Drosophila melanogaster: one gene and its partner. The protein of the gene in region 2 interacts with the protein of the main gene of each other region in a pairwise test. Each region holds a gene or a part of one and is shown on either strand. Other genes may lie near its edges.

Region 1 (7,458 bases), on a different chromosome or scaffold from region 2:
GAGGAAATCATTAGATTGGCCAGTAGAATTGGGTTGAAAAAGTCCTCGAGGCGCTTAGCAAAACTATTGGCAAAATCAAAGTAACATGTAATGGAATCATTGTAATAGAGTCGTTGTAATAGAATCATTGTAATAGAATCGTTGTAATAGAATCGTTGTAATAAAATCATTGTAATAAAATCATTGTAATAAAATCGTTGTAATAGAATCATTGAAATGAATCATTGTAATAAAATCGTTGTAATAGAATCATTGTAATAGAATCGTTGTAATAGAATCATTGTAATGAATCATTGTAATAGAATCATTGTAATAAAATCGTTGTAAAAGAATCATTGAAATGAATCATTGTAATAAAATCGTTGTAATAGAATTATTGTAATAAAATCGTTGTAATAGAATTATTGTAATAGAATCATTGTAATAGAATCGTTGTAAAAGAATCATTGTAACAGTATCGTTGTAATAGAATCATTGTAATAGAATCATTGTAATAGTATCGTTGTGATAGAATATTTGTAATATAATCGTTGTAATAGAATCATTGTAATAGAATCATTGTAATAGGATCATTGTAATAGAATCATTGTAATTGAATATTGGCACGATACCAACCTGATAATATTGTTGTGTTTTTCCACAATACGTTTGAGTCGCTCCAGCTGAATGCTCTCGGCCAATTCCGCATTGGAACCCGCAAATAAACCTGCGATTCGTTGGTGTAGCAAATGAAATTGGCCACAAGTGTAGGTTATGAAGAAGCCAAGAATGGTGTCCTCTGCAAACAAGGTGGTGACCACACAGATTCCCGCGTAGGAGGTGAAGATGTAGGTCATCACATATCGGATCCAACTGCTCTGGGCATCGTACGGAAAGATCATCTTGTAGGGAAACGGCTTGTTCTGTGCATCGAAGGCGGGTCCAAAGAAGATCTCCACCAGCGGCAGGACACAATACATTATGATCAGGCACGCTAGCAAGGATGTCATTATGCTGAAGGTAACCATGCGTCTGCGACACTCGGCGGCAACATTGTTTTTGGAAGAACTGGAACCCATCATATATTTATATATGTAAATAAAGATTTTCTTACAAATACAGTTTGAAGATGGGTATAGTTACTCAAAAGTCTATATTATCTCAAAACCACTTTAAGTGTCCAAAAGCATGCTTAGAAAGCAAAGTTTGCTCTTTTGCACACAACAATGTAGCACACTTTTCTGCGCATTTACTCAAGTAAGATTGCAAACCTCTATAGTTTTCAATGCTCTGCAGTTTAATGCGATGATCATTTAACATCGCTTATAATAACCCTAATGAATCGACTCACTTAGGTATCCAAATTTCGTAGGAAAAGTTCTCAATAAGCTGGCGGAATTTCCTCTGATTGAGGCGAAGATGGATGAGTCGGACAAAGTTCAGGACACCCATAAAGGTGGTGCAACAATTTTCCGTGGTGATAATAATGTCCGAAAGGTTGTTCAGCAAAAAGGCCGTCTGATAGCTGATTGTTATGCCCACAGATGCAATGACGTACCACGCCCACACGATGTAGGCGGTGGCCAATAAGGATTGGCTCCTCCATGGCCTCGATGATTCGGTTAATGGCCAAGAACCATTCAGTTTCAGCCAAACGCACTGAATGGGAAAGCTAAGTGCTTTGTAGGGATACGAATAGAACATGACTATCTGATAAATGCCACAGCACTAGGTACATCTTAAGGCATTTCTTTCATTTATAGCTTACCAACTGCGCCCTAAAATTACCACTTTTTTAATCATTTACCCTAATTGCACAGTAAATATTTTAGAAAGCGTTTGCACACAAGGCATATACTTACCACCTCATTAAGTGCCGAATATGAAATTTTGATCAAACGCATTTTCCAAGGAGGTGTGTGCCTGTGAAATCCATTAAACTATACTACTTGTGTGTATTTTAATTTTGCTTTATTTTGAAGAACAAAGTGCGTTTTGCTCTCGAAAAATAAACAGGTAAACAGGTGCACATATTTCAATTTTGTTTTCAATTTAATATATTCAAATTAAAAAGCAAAACTAAAAGTATAAACATGCAACCTGCGCCTGAAATCCGTAACACTTTTAGATATATATATATTTTTTTTTCAATTTCTTATACATATTATTTCATTGTAATTTTCCATGATTTTCCATTTATGTATGTTGGCTAACAATGCGGTCTGTATTTATTTTTAGGCTTTCATTCGCCCAAACTTCATTTCGAAACCAGTTAATTTAAATCAGGTCACTGCTAGCTGGGCGTAAGAAGGATATAGCTTCATTCAATTAGACGACGGGGGCGTGGCCAATCTGTGGCGTGGAACAGTGTGGACCCAGTTCTCTGTCCATTGTTCTGGCCAAGATCTCGACGGCCAGATAGACAGGCAGCCAGACAGAGATACAGAGAGACAGACAGACACGGCTAGATGGAAACGTATGTAGAGGCGTAGGTGTATACTACACTTCCTTTTACAATTACGCACCTTTGCACGAATACAATATACCCTTTTGCTCCACATAACGGACATAAACAGACGTACCCGGATTGTAAGACTCGTTGGGGCCAAGGAGTGGATTTTTTTTTTACCGACTTTCGGCGAGAGAGCCAGCGGCTGAGTGCCGAACACCAACCAACATCCATCCGAGGACCAAAAGGATGTGGCCCACACAGCCCGAGAGAGCCAAGATGCTGAATTGTGACGTGACAATAGAAGCGGAGAGCGAGAGATGTGGCCACTCGGCTGGGCTTGGTTTGAGATATATTGGTATGGGATGGGATGGCCGGGATTGGGAATCTCCCAGTTGAGATTCCGGTGCTCTGCGACTGCGTCGTATTTGGCTGACTGAAGAATGGCTGGTCGACTGGGTTGGCTGCCTGGTTTGCCTCCGGTTGGAGGCAATCGTTTTTCGCCTGGCCAAAATCCTGCAGACGTGTTCGAGAGCTTTAGAACGTTGTTTGCAATTGCGGAAAGCGGTTAGCGAGGCACGAGACACGGCGATAGTTTTTAATAGAAGAAGCAGCAGCAGCAATAAAAAAATAAAATAAATTAATACAAAAAACACAAAAAACATACAAAAACCAAAAAAAAAAAAAAACAAACAAACAAACAAAACGAAATACGAAAGCAGCAGAAAAGAGTGCAGATGCAGGAAATAGCCGTATAGTTCGCAGCCAGCGGAGCAATAGTTTATTGAGGAATAATCCCCGAGTCGGCGCCCAAAAAGATCCAACAAATACCCCAGAAACACAACTGAACAACCAGCCCAGGCAAAAGTATATACATATATATATATATATATATATATATTAACAAAGAAATTCGTTTTCAAATCCCAACACACCGTGAACTTAGAATATATATATATACATACGCGTATATATATATGTATATATATATATATATGGAAAAAAGTAAAAGAAAAGAGGAAAAACGAAATGCCGAACGGGTGGGCAAAATGTGAAAACCCAACAAATAACTACTCAGAATCAAATGTTTGATATAGTAACGTAACGAAACGCAACGCAACGCAGCTCTAAAATCGGCTACTAAATCAGCACATTCAAATCAAATATGGAAAATACAAAAATAGAATAAATATATATATATGTCTATATATGTGCACATATATGCGTGTATATGTATATGCTGATGGCGTAAGGATGAAAAGATCATAAAATACATATTTTATGAAAATTTTTTGCATATTTTTTTTACTGTTTGGCCAAAATAACAAACTGAGTGTGTTCATAAAGCAGTACAATGTAAACTTAAAAGCAAACTTAAACGCAAAACGGATAACAAATAATTCATAACTACTCTCCAACTACTGTTTCAATGGATTCTGGTTTTGATTTTTTTCGAATTTCCCGAATTTCCATTGGTGAGTACCGCAATTACGTTTATGTATTTTATATCTATCAAAAATCGCTACACATCCCATGCATATATATATATATATATAGTATATTTCGGTATATGTACATGGCCTCAAGGATTCCAAACTCTGGCAGATGGAACTGAAATAGTTTGGCTAGCTGGATAGTTGGATTGCTTTATGGCCGTAATTATACGGGGGAGGGGAAAATGTATACTTGGTCCAAAACACACACCACATGCCCAACATACTTACTATTATTGCGAATATGGTCCAACTCCCGACTCTCGAGCGGAAATGAGGCGCGGCTGACTGCGCATGACCAATGAATAATAGCGATACAGAAATGCTTTTATCCCACACTTTGTATTCCAATGCATATCTGGATATCCTCTCTCCATCTCGACGTCTCACCGTCTCTCCATCTCGTCATCCCTTCTCTGTCCATGCCGCTCCATTGGCATGCGAAGGAATTTGGAATTTTTTTTTTTTTTTTTTTTTTGGCAAAAGGACTCTGGCAATTCGAAGTGTGTCAGGACATCATCGCCTTTTTCAGCGTCGCTTGCAATGGTGCGCTCCTCCACCAACGCCAACTGAAGACACATTTGTTCACAATTATTTGGGGGTCTGGGCATGCGTTGCCATTGACCCATCTAACCACCCGCAGTTGTGCACGGCAATTCAAATCTCAACGTGCCCCAGTGCTTTCGATTGTTTTTAAACAATTAAATCCACCGCATAATCCCATGCCAGCCAAACGAAACACGTAACCGGATTTGAGATGATGGCAAAGTGATTCCAGGATGATTCCCCCTGCTGAGTCCTTGAGTTTGTGAGTTCTCGTTTAATGGTTGGTTAACTCGTGAGAAATCTGCGCTGGCAGTAAAGTAAACAAGCAGCGGGCAATTTGTTTATCAATCAAAGAAATGGTGTCGGAATTCCGCATTCGCGAGTGTGACAACGCCCAAATGTTTGCTGATCCATAAAGGAGAAGAGCTCCGCGATTAGATCGCCCTACCTACCACCACGCATCCTTCGAAGCTCGAACTTCCCTATCGTTTGGTAGCACATTGACTCCAGATGGACTTATTGGGGGCACAAATCAAAACGCGGCAAAACAATGGGGCAAAGACACAGATTAGGTCAAATAACAATGCTGCTATACACACGAAGAAAAAGGAATGAACTTGTGAGGGAAACTAAAGATGAATGGTTTGAATACAATACAGTTTTCTTTGCATACATTTAACGGACTGAAAAAAATCTTTTAAAACTGGTTATGCTAGGGAAAACATTATTTTTTCATATCCTGTTAACAAACATTTGGTATTTGATTAGTTTCCGGAATCCTTGAATTTTTCTTCGAGTGGCAAACTTATGGCTCTGCACCAGATTAGAAGCCATGACCTACGATTTGATATAATCAATCAAGGCTTGACTTGTTGCCTGTTCAATAAATAGTCAGGATATTCAGAATTCACAACAGTTGAAATCATTTACAAAACGCGGCTTTGTATGAGTAAATCTTTTCTGCGTGTGTAAAACTACAAAATGCTGCCCAATGCTAGTGAGTCAGATACTGCCAAAAAAACTTGTCGGTATCATGGAGTGAGCCAACTTTTTGAGAAACATAATAATGAAAGTTTTGTCAAAACGAATAAATTGGGAAACACTATACGATGGAGCTTCAGCTTTCCGTGCTGTTGTTACTCCATTTGATCGGGAATAGTTTTAATCAAGTTTTAATTGGCAAAGTTGCACAATGAGTGCAATCATTAGTCAGCAGACAAAAAATTGTGTGGCTGGCAAGAGGAATAACTCATTTTATTGGCCCACAGATCCACATCCGCACACATGTCTGCAGTTCCCATCTTTGGAATGCCGTCTAGTCGGAGGCTGCGCATTCGGTCTTTGGAGAGCCAGCCAGCCAGCCAGTCAGCCAGCCAGCCGACGACCACGACTCTCGCGTCCTTAATTTTCATCCCTTTATTTATTTATTTTCCTGTCAGCTGCCGCTGTCTGGTGTGTCTGCCCAAGGTTTCTGTTTCGCATTCTGTTTCTGAATTTGAATCTGAATCTGAGACTGAATCTGAGACTGAATCTGAGACTGATTCTGAGTCCGTTTCGGCCGTGGACGCCCACGACAGCGAGGGAAATATGTGGCCATCCGGAGAATAGATTAACAGGATACACCAGTAGTTAGGGACCTCAGCTCATCTACTCATCTTCATCTTCATCGCCCCTTCATCATCATCATGGGGGCTCATCTCATCTTGGGGCTTTAAATTATGCGACTTGAGTTGTGTTTGTTGGTAAGATGTTGTCATATGTATGCGACCAGCCACTTGGCCTGGAGAAGTACTCATCAAGGTGCCCAAAAGTATGCCACAATGTATTTAAAATGTGCATTCTCAACTCTTCAAGTTCCTTATGCTTGGGAATTGCTTGGGTGGTGTGTTTCTGAAAAATGGTCCATATATTTGTAATATATCATCAGAGTTATTAAAGCACACGAAGAACTGTCTAAAAGTATGCTACAATTGTGCGCAATTATTATACTATACTATGTCTGTTGGTTTAAACTTAACTTATGAAGGTTTCTAAAACTTCTAAAAGTATAAATAGTTAAGTTAAAATATTTATATGTAAAGCATACCATTTTTTCTGCTACAAATATAAATTACCATGTTTATACAATACTTGCATATATTATTTATGCCATATTAGCTTAGCACTTTTGACCGGTTTTTAAACGAATGACATAAAATCATTTGCACTAATAATGTCATTGGCTGGTGAATAAACTTTGTTTGGATACAGCTTTCTATTGGTCGAAGTTGCTTGTTTATTACATTTTTAAAAGTATATAATTGGATTTAGCTGAAATTTCTTAGATAATTCAAACACTCTCGCTTGCCATACGCAAATTGTGATATGCATTCATCTTTTTAATGCAATTAAATGTTATGACAAAACTTTGAAAATAAGTTACTTCTCAGTTGTTGTTTTATAAATTGAAACCATTCTCGTTGTTATCCTTTTCGTTAGTCCTTTTACTCCTTGTAATTTTCCATGTGGGCCACTGTCGCCTCCTTTTGCGGCAATAAATTTACTCACTGCCTTTTCGCCGAAATGACCCAAATTTCAGGATGCCCTCCATATAAGGGAAAATTCAATAAATTATTGCTAAGCCTTTGGAAATTGTGCAGAACCTGTTGATTCTGCAGCCGCCGCAACTAAGCGCTTAATTAAATTTTAGTCGGAATTTTCACGTATATGTATACGCATTTGATATTTTGGAAACAGGCAAAGTCAAAAAAAAAAAAAAAAACTTATCATATATAATATTATTGCCAATAAGATACTATTTATATTACGTTTTATTGAAGTCGAGCACAATTTCAATATCCCTGGATTGCATAAGCTTATGTTTGAAACAAGTAATTTGAAACTGATTGCTTGCTGGGGCAAAAGAGAAATCACAGTAATTGCAGTAAAAGCAAACATTTAATTTGCACGAACGAACACTTAAACAAATTAGCTGACTACACTTAGAAAAAC
Region 2 (5,753 bases):
AAAAATGCACTTAAAAATAGACTAAATATTGGCTTTTAGCCAAGTCGGATTTCTTTGGTACCTAAACAAAGTTTCTCAAAAAAACCTTCGAGACTTTGCCACTGGAATGTCAAGGACAGATCACTGCCAAAAGCTCGAATTAATGATTCGCATTATTTCATATCAAAACGCCTTAAGCTGACCTGATGAGGAATGTATTCATACGGAATCGTGTTCTCTTGGGATTACATTCAGCAATATCCATCTGAAGCCAGCTTGCCGATCCATGTGAGTCTGCAAACGCCTTATAAATGAAAAGTGCGTACAAAAAGAACAATTGACATTAATTTTATGAAGTGTGAGATTTACATTTTAAGCACTTGGCTAGTATTTCCCGATTGGTCATGATTAGCGTGGTAATTTAGCGCGAATATTTGTCCGTGCTCGATTTTCGCACTTCAATGGAGAGGGGTAAATCGAGACCGGTTTTTAGACTTGCCAAAATATCCGGTAGCAACAATCGCACTTTTTGCAATTTTAATGTCGCACACAAATTGAATCTCAAATTACTTGGGACATATTTGCTGGTATCAAGTCCGACAACAACTACTTATACGACTATACAGGCTCTGCCGCTGACTCGGACCCGAAATATGTGTGTCCAATTGCGGCCAACAAATAATTTGCTCCACATTTCCCACACAAAGGTCTAGCGCAACCACATTAGCCAGACCTCTTGGCCTTTCGCTCCTCTTTGTTGGCCAGCTGGGTTGCTCGACTTGGGCTTGGCTTTGGCAACGGTTGAGTGCCGGCACACGGGGGATAATAATCGACAGCCTCGGCACTGGCCAATGCCCACCTTGGATCCCATTGAAATCACAACATGTGATATTTTGTTAAATACGCTCAAAAATTATGGTATACTTTTTTAAAGCTTAAAGAATCTACCTTAGGTGAACCTAATTAGCTTGAATTATGCTCTGGTTATTTGCGAATGAAAGCGTTCCGGAAACTATAAGATTTGTGTAATTTTCATCAGGATCCGGCTCCCTGTGTGTCAGTCTGCTCATATGAACTACGAGATATCGAACTTATAAAACTTGCTGATGATATCTAAAGCGTATCTGATAGTCTATTATCAACTGCATATTTTATTAAGCTTAGTTTGATTAGATAGACGCGCAGGGTATAAACATATCATACATTTTTAAAAAAATATTTAAAATAATATTGTTATATCTATAACTCTCAAGAATTAACTTTTTTATGTTGACTCTGTTAGTTTTAATCATAACTTCATCAATACCCTATCAATATAAAAATATCTAATGCAATCAAAAATATAAGCTGATGGTTTTAAAATTGCACATATTATTTAAACAAAATATTTGAGATTTTTTTTTTATTTTTGTAAAGATTTTGCAGTATTTTTTATAGGTATTAAATATGGCTAACACATCTAATTGAAACACATTAGAATGTCATTAATGAAGACGCTATCTCCTTGACTCAATTTTATCCGGATAAAACAAATCCGAAATTGTTTCAGCTGCCGTTGATGAAAATAGATGATCAATAGATGAAAATAAAAAAAAAAATTTTTTTTAATATTTGTGTGTATTTGTAGGAGGCAATTGTAAAACTATAACAGTAATGGGTTGAGAAACGTAAAATGACAGTTCTTAGTGGTGGTAGGCAACAGCGGGGGCGGCGTAGGAGGTGTAGGTAGCAGGAGCGGCGTAGTGGGCAACTGGAGCCACGGTCTTGACCACGGCGGGAGCAGCGTAGTGGGCAACCGGAGCCACGGTCTTGACCACAGCGGGAGCAGCGTAATGGGCGACAGCAGGGGCGGCGTAGTGGGCAACGGGAGCGGCGACGGTCTTCACAACGGGGGCAACGGCGACGGCCTTGACCAGGGGCTCACGGTTGACAACGGCGTTGAATCCGTTGATGGGATCGGCGGTGTACTGGACGGTTCTCTTGTAGCCATCGGCGTCGATCAGGGAGTACTCTCCGCGGACCACGTCGCCATCGCGCTCCTCCACCTGGCTCTTGGAGTCTCCGGAGAGGGAGTCCTGAACATCGTAGGCGTACTTGTACTGGGGATGGGGATCGTACTCCTCGGCGGCCTTGGCAAGAACCGGCTGGGCGTGAGCAACGGCGACAGGTGCTTGGGCGTAGGTGGCCACGGCGGGGGCGGCGTGGTACACCTGCTGGACGGGCAGAACACCGGCGCTGGCGGCGGCGATCAGGGCGAAGAGGGCGATGAACTGAAAGAGGGAAAGCAGTTAGGATGTGGGTCTTTGGCGGGGCTAAGTCCTCGGGGCGAACCTTGAATGCCATTTTGATTTGGATTGATTTGGCTGCTGCTGCTGCTGCTGTTGGTTGTTGGAAGGCAAAATGAACTGTGAGGGCTACTGGGCCAACACTTGGCTTATATACCGAGATGGAGCTATTTCTTCAGCTGCTGCTACCATTGAATGGCCGAACTCGCTTTTGCCGGCGGGCCACGCTCTTGGCGTAATTAGTGCAATTCATTTATGCTAAACGTGTGTGGAGAGGGAAAAGTGAAGCTTGAAGGCGTGCTCAATCTTTGTATCTCTGTGTTTTGTCATCAAATAACTTCAATTTATCCGAGAGAAACGGAGAGCGTGCGCTGTGACATCACTGCTTACTAAATCCAGTTAGCTTACAAGACAGTTAATATTGTGGCAAAAAGGTCGCTTAAAAAGATATTAACTCAAAACATCTAAATTATCGTAGCTTTATTAAATTAAAATTATTATTTTTTATCACCCACCTTTGGTTTCCAAAATTTGAAGATAGTTCACAGGCGAACAGCTTTTTAACATGCTTAAAACTTTTTTTTGTAACATATTTGTAATATTTTATGTAGGTTAATAAAATTATACAACTTTGTAGGAAATGTGTTTTAAATACATAATAATCAAATTATGATCCCAACATAAAATATTCATTATACCTCACCAAGACAAACCTATGGATACAAACTCAAAACGTATTTAATAATTTGACTAGCAAATATTTAAACAAATAAGATCAGAACTTTTATTCCCTTTTTATAAAAAATGGGTTCAATTATACACACTTACTTTGTTGTACTTTCCAAAAGAAAAACAACAAAATTGAATAAGAAGACTCCAAGTTTAAGGAAAATAGTAATTAAAATTGGCTTGGCGTAATCAATTAAGTGCAGCTGGTTATTTCGACCGATCGAAATTGGCAGAACTGAAGAAGGTGCGTGACAATTTTTACATGCCACCGGCGCCGCTCGAGGTGATGCGCCAAAAATGAATTCCAATTAGGTGTCATCAATGTCACCAAGTAGCGTATAAAATAAACGGCCCACAATGGGTCAGACATTCAGTGTTTGGCTTCGGCTCAAGACAGCAGTTAATCAAATTCATCCAACTACAATGGCAGCAAAGGTTTGTGCTACCAATTGGAGGATAAACGTTCCGGGGGACTACTAGTGGATTACCAGACTGCCTTCGCCTTTTTATCTTGGAAAAAAAAATCCTAAAAAGAGTGTAATTTATTCCGCAGATTGTTATCGCTTTGGCTCTGTTCGCCGTGGCCCATGGCGCCGTCCTTAGAACTGCTGCTCCAGTGGCAGTGGCTTCTGCTCCGGTGCCAGTTTTGGCCAAGACCGTTGAGTTGGAGGAGGTTGATCCGCATCCTCAGTACACCTACAGCTACGACGTGCAGGACACGCTTTCCGGCGACAACAAGGGGCATGTGGAGGAGCGCGATGGTGACGTGGTCCGCGGCGAGTACTCCCTGATCGACGCCGATGGCTTTAAGCGCACCGTGACCTATACCGCCGATTCCATTAACGGATTCAACGCCGTCGTCCGCCGTGAACCCCTTGCCGCTGTTGTGGCCGCCGAGCCGTTGCTGAAGGTTGCTGCCCCATTGGTCAAGGCCGCTCCAGTCGCCCCCATCGCCCCTGTCGCCTTGGCCGCACCAGCTCCCATTGTGCGCTCCGCTCCAGTGGCCGTCGCTGCTCCTCTGATCAAGTCCGCTCCCCTAGCAGTTGCCGCTCCGTTCGTCCGCTCCGCCCCTCTGGCGGTGGCTGCTCCCGCTCCCGTTCTGCGTACCGCTGCCTATGCCACGCCTCTGCGGTACACCGCCCCTGCGTACACCGTCGCCCAATTGTAAACACCCATGCGACCGCTGTTATTTTGAACCCTTGTTTTGTTTCTATGATAATAAAATGTGATTTGATATGTTAATTTGAATTGTGGTTTTATTTGGGCTTAGAAATTAAGTTATATTTTTACCAACTCAATTGAAATTCAGTTCAAGCATATTTCAAAGCTTTCTTAATTGTTCCCATGATTTGACTAGTATCCGTAAAAACTCTTATTTAATCCATCAGTTTGCTTTTAAGCAGACTAACTTATTCTTGATTCTTGAAGTGTGCATTGAAATATATTTATTATTATCGTCTAATGTGCTTTTCAATTCAAAGTATGTAATCAGTGTAGGTCAGTTCCAAGCGTTTTGAGCTGCCCGGTAACATGATATACCACTCAAGGCAGAATGGTGAAAGCATTTAATTCGCAATAGGCACCAAAATCCGAGGGTCTCTCCCAAGACACTAAGCCGCACTAGATTTGGATGCGGATTGCATAAAAGTATCTCTGGCCCCCGGCGTGGGCAGTTGTAAGTGCCCATATTCCAGTCGATAAAGTAATAAGGTAAATAGCATAGCGGTAATACAATAATAAATGTATAAAATAAAAAGTGACAAAAATGATTTGCCCAACAGCGAATTAATCAGTTTCAATTCGTTATTCGCATTTTGCTTTGCACACGTTCAGTGGGTATAAAAAGCAAAGCTCGTGTTCCAGTAAATCATTCCACAGCTTCACCGTCTTCGCAGCAGTTAACGGATAACCACCACCAGCCCTCCTCCAAGTCCAGAGCCATGGCCTTCAAGGTGGGTAATCCTTACATGAATATCCGATCCTTTCAATTACCCCTCTTTTCTCCCACAGTTCTTCGCTGTTCTCGCCCTCATCTCGGCCGCCAGTGCCGGAGTTCTTCCCGTCCAGCAGGTGTATCACGCCGCCCCCGCCGTGGCCACCTACGCCCAAGCACCTGTCGCCGTTGCCCACGCCCAGCCGGTTCTGACCAAGGCCACCGAGGAATACGATCCCCATCCCCAGTACAAGTTCGCCTACGATGTCCAGGACTCCCTTTCCGGAGACTCGAAGAGTCAGGTTGAGGAGCGTGATGGCGACGTGGTCCATGGCGAGTACTCCCTGATCGATTCCGATGGCTACAAGCGCATTGTCCAGTACACCTCCGACCCGGTCAACGGTTTCAACGCCGTCGTCAACCGCGTTCCCCTGGATCACGTGAAGACCGTGGTGAAGACCGTGGCTCCTGTGGCCGTGGCTGCTGCCCCTATCCCAGTGGCCTACCACCAGCACCACTGAGGAACTCTCCTACTGATTTGTTGAATCCGTTTGTAGATCAAATAAATTGTTGAATATTTGTAAGCTGAAAGAAATCGAAACGCATTTTTCTTTACGTCTTGTAAGGGATCTCGCTCATTAGCAGGCATTAGTCAATCAAAATATTATACATATATTTATATATTGTATTGTTAAAGTAAATTCGTAATATTGAAAAAATCTAAGAATTACAAGTTACACAAAAGCACCCAGTAAGCAACTTAGATGACCATCAAGTGGGAGCCCGCCTGGTACCAACGAAAAACGTCACTGGAGCTGCTTACTCTG

The links.
Region 1: the proteins of Ccp84Ae (region 2) and mmd interact in a two-hybrid assay, tested with the Drosophila melanogaster proteins (one large-scale study listed by BioGRID).

Annotation. Positions count from the first base shown.
Region 1 is NC_004354.4:15,968,650-15,976,107, reverse strand, and holds the start of mmd (mind-meld), read left to right. Parts: upstream 1-3,040; 5' UTR 3,041-3,903; intron 3,904-7,458. Other genes in the region: Or13a (odorant receptor 13a), read right to left, coding at 1-63, 616-1,047, 1,331-1,683.
Region 2 is NT_033777.3:6,689,367-6,695,119, reverse strand, and holds Ccp84Ae (Ccp84Ae), read left to right. Parts: upstream 1-3,361; 5' UTR 3,362-3,416; coding exon 3,417-3,428; intron 3,429-3,546; coding exon 3,547-4,161; 3' UTR 4,162-4,233; downstream 4,234-5,753. Other genes in the region: Ccp84Ad, read right to left, coding at 1,662-2,249, 2,311-2,322; Ccp84Af, read left to right, coding at 4,934-4,945, 5,004-5,447.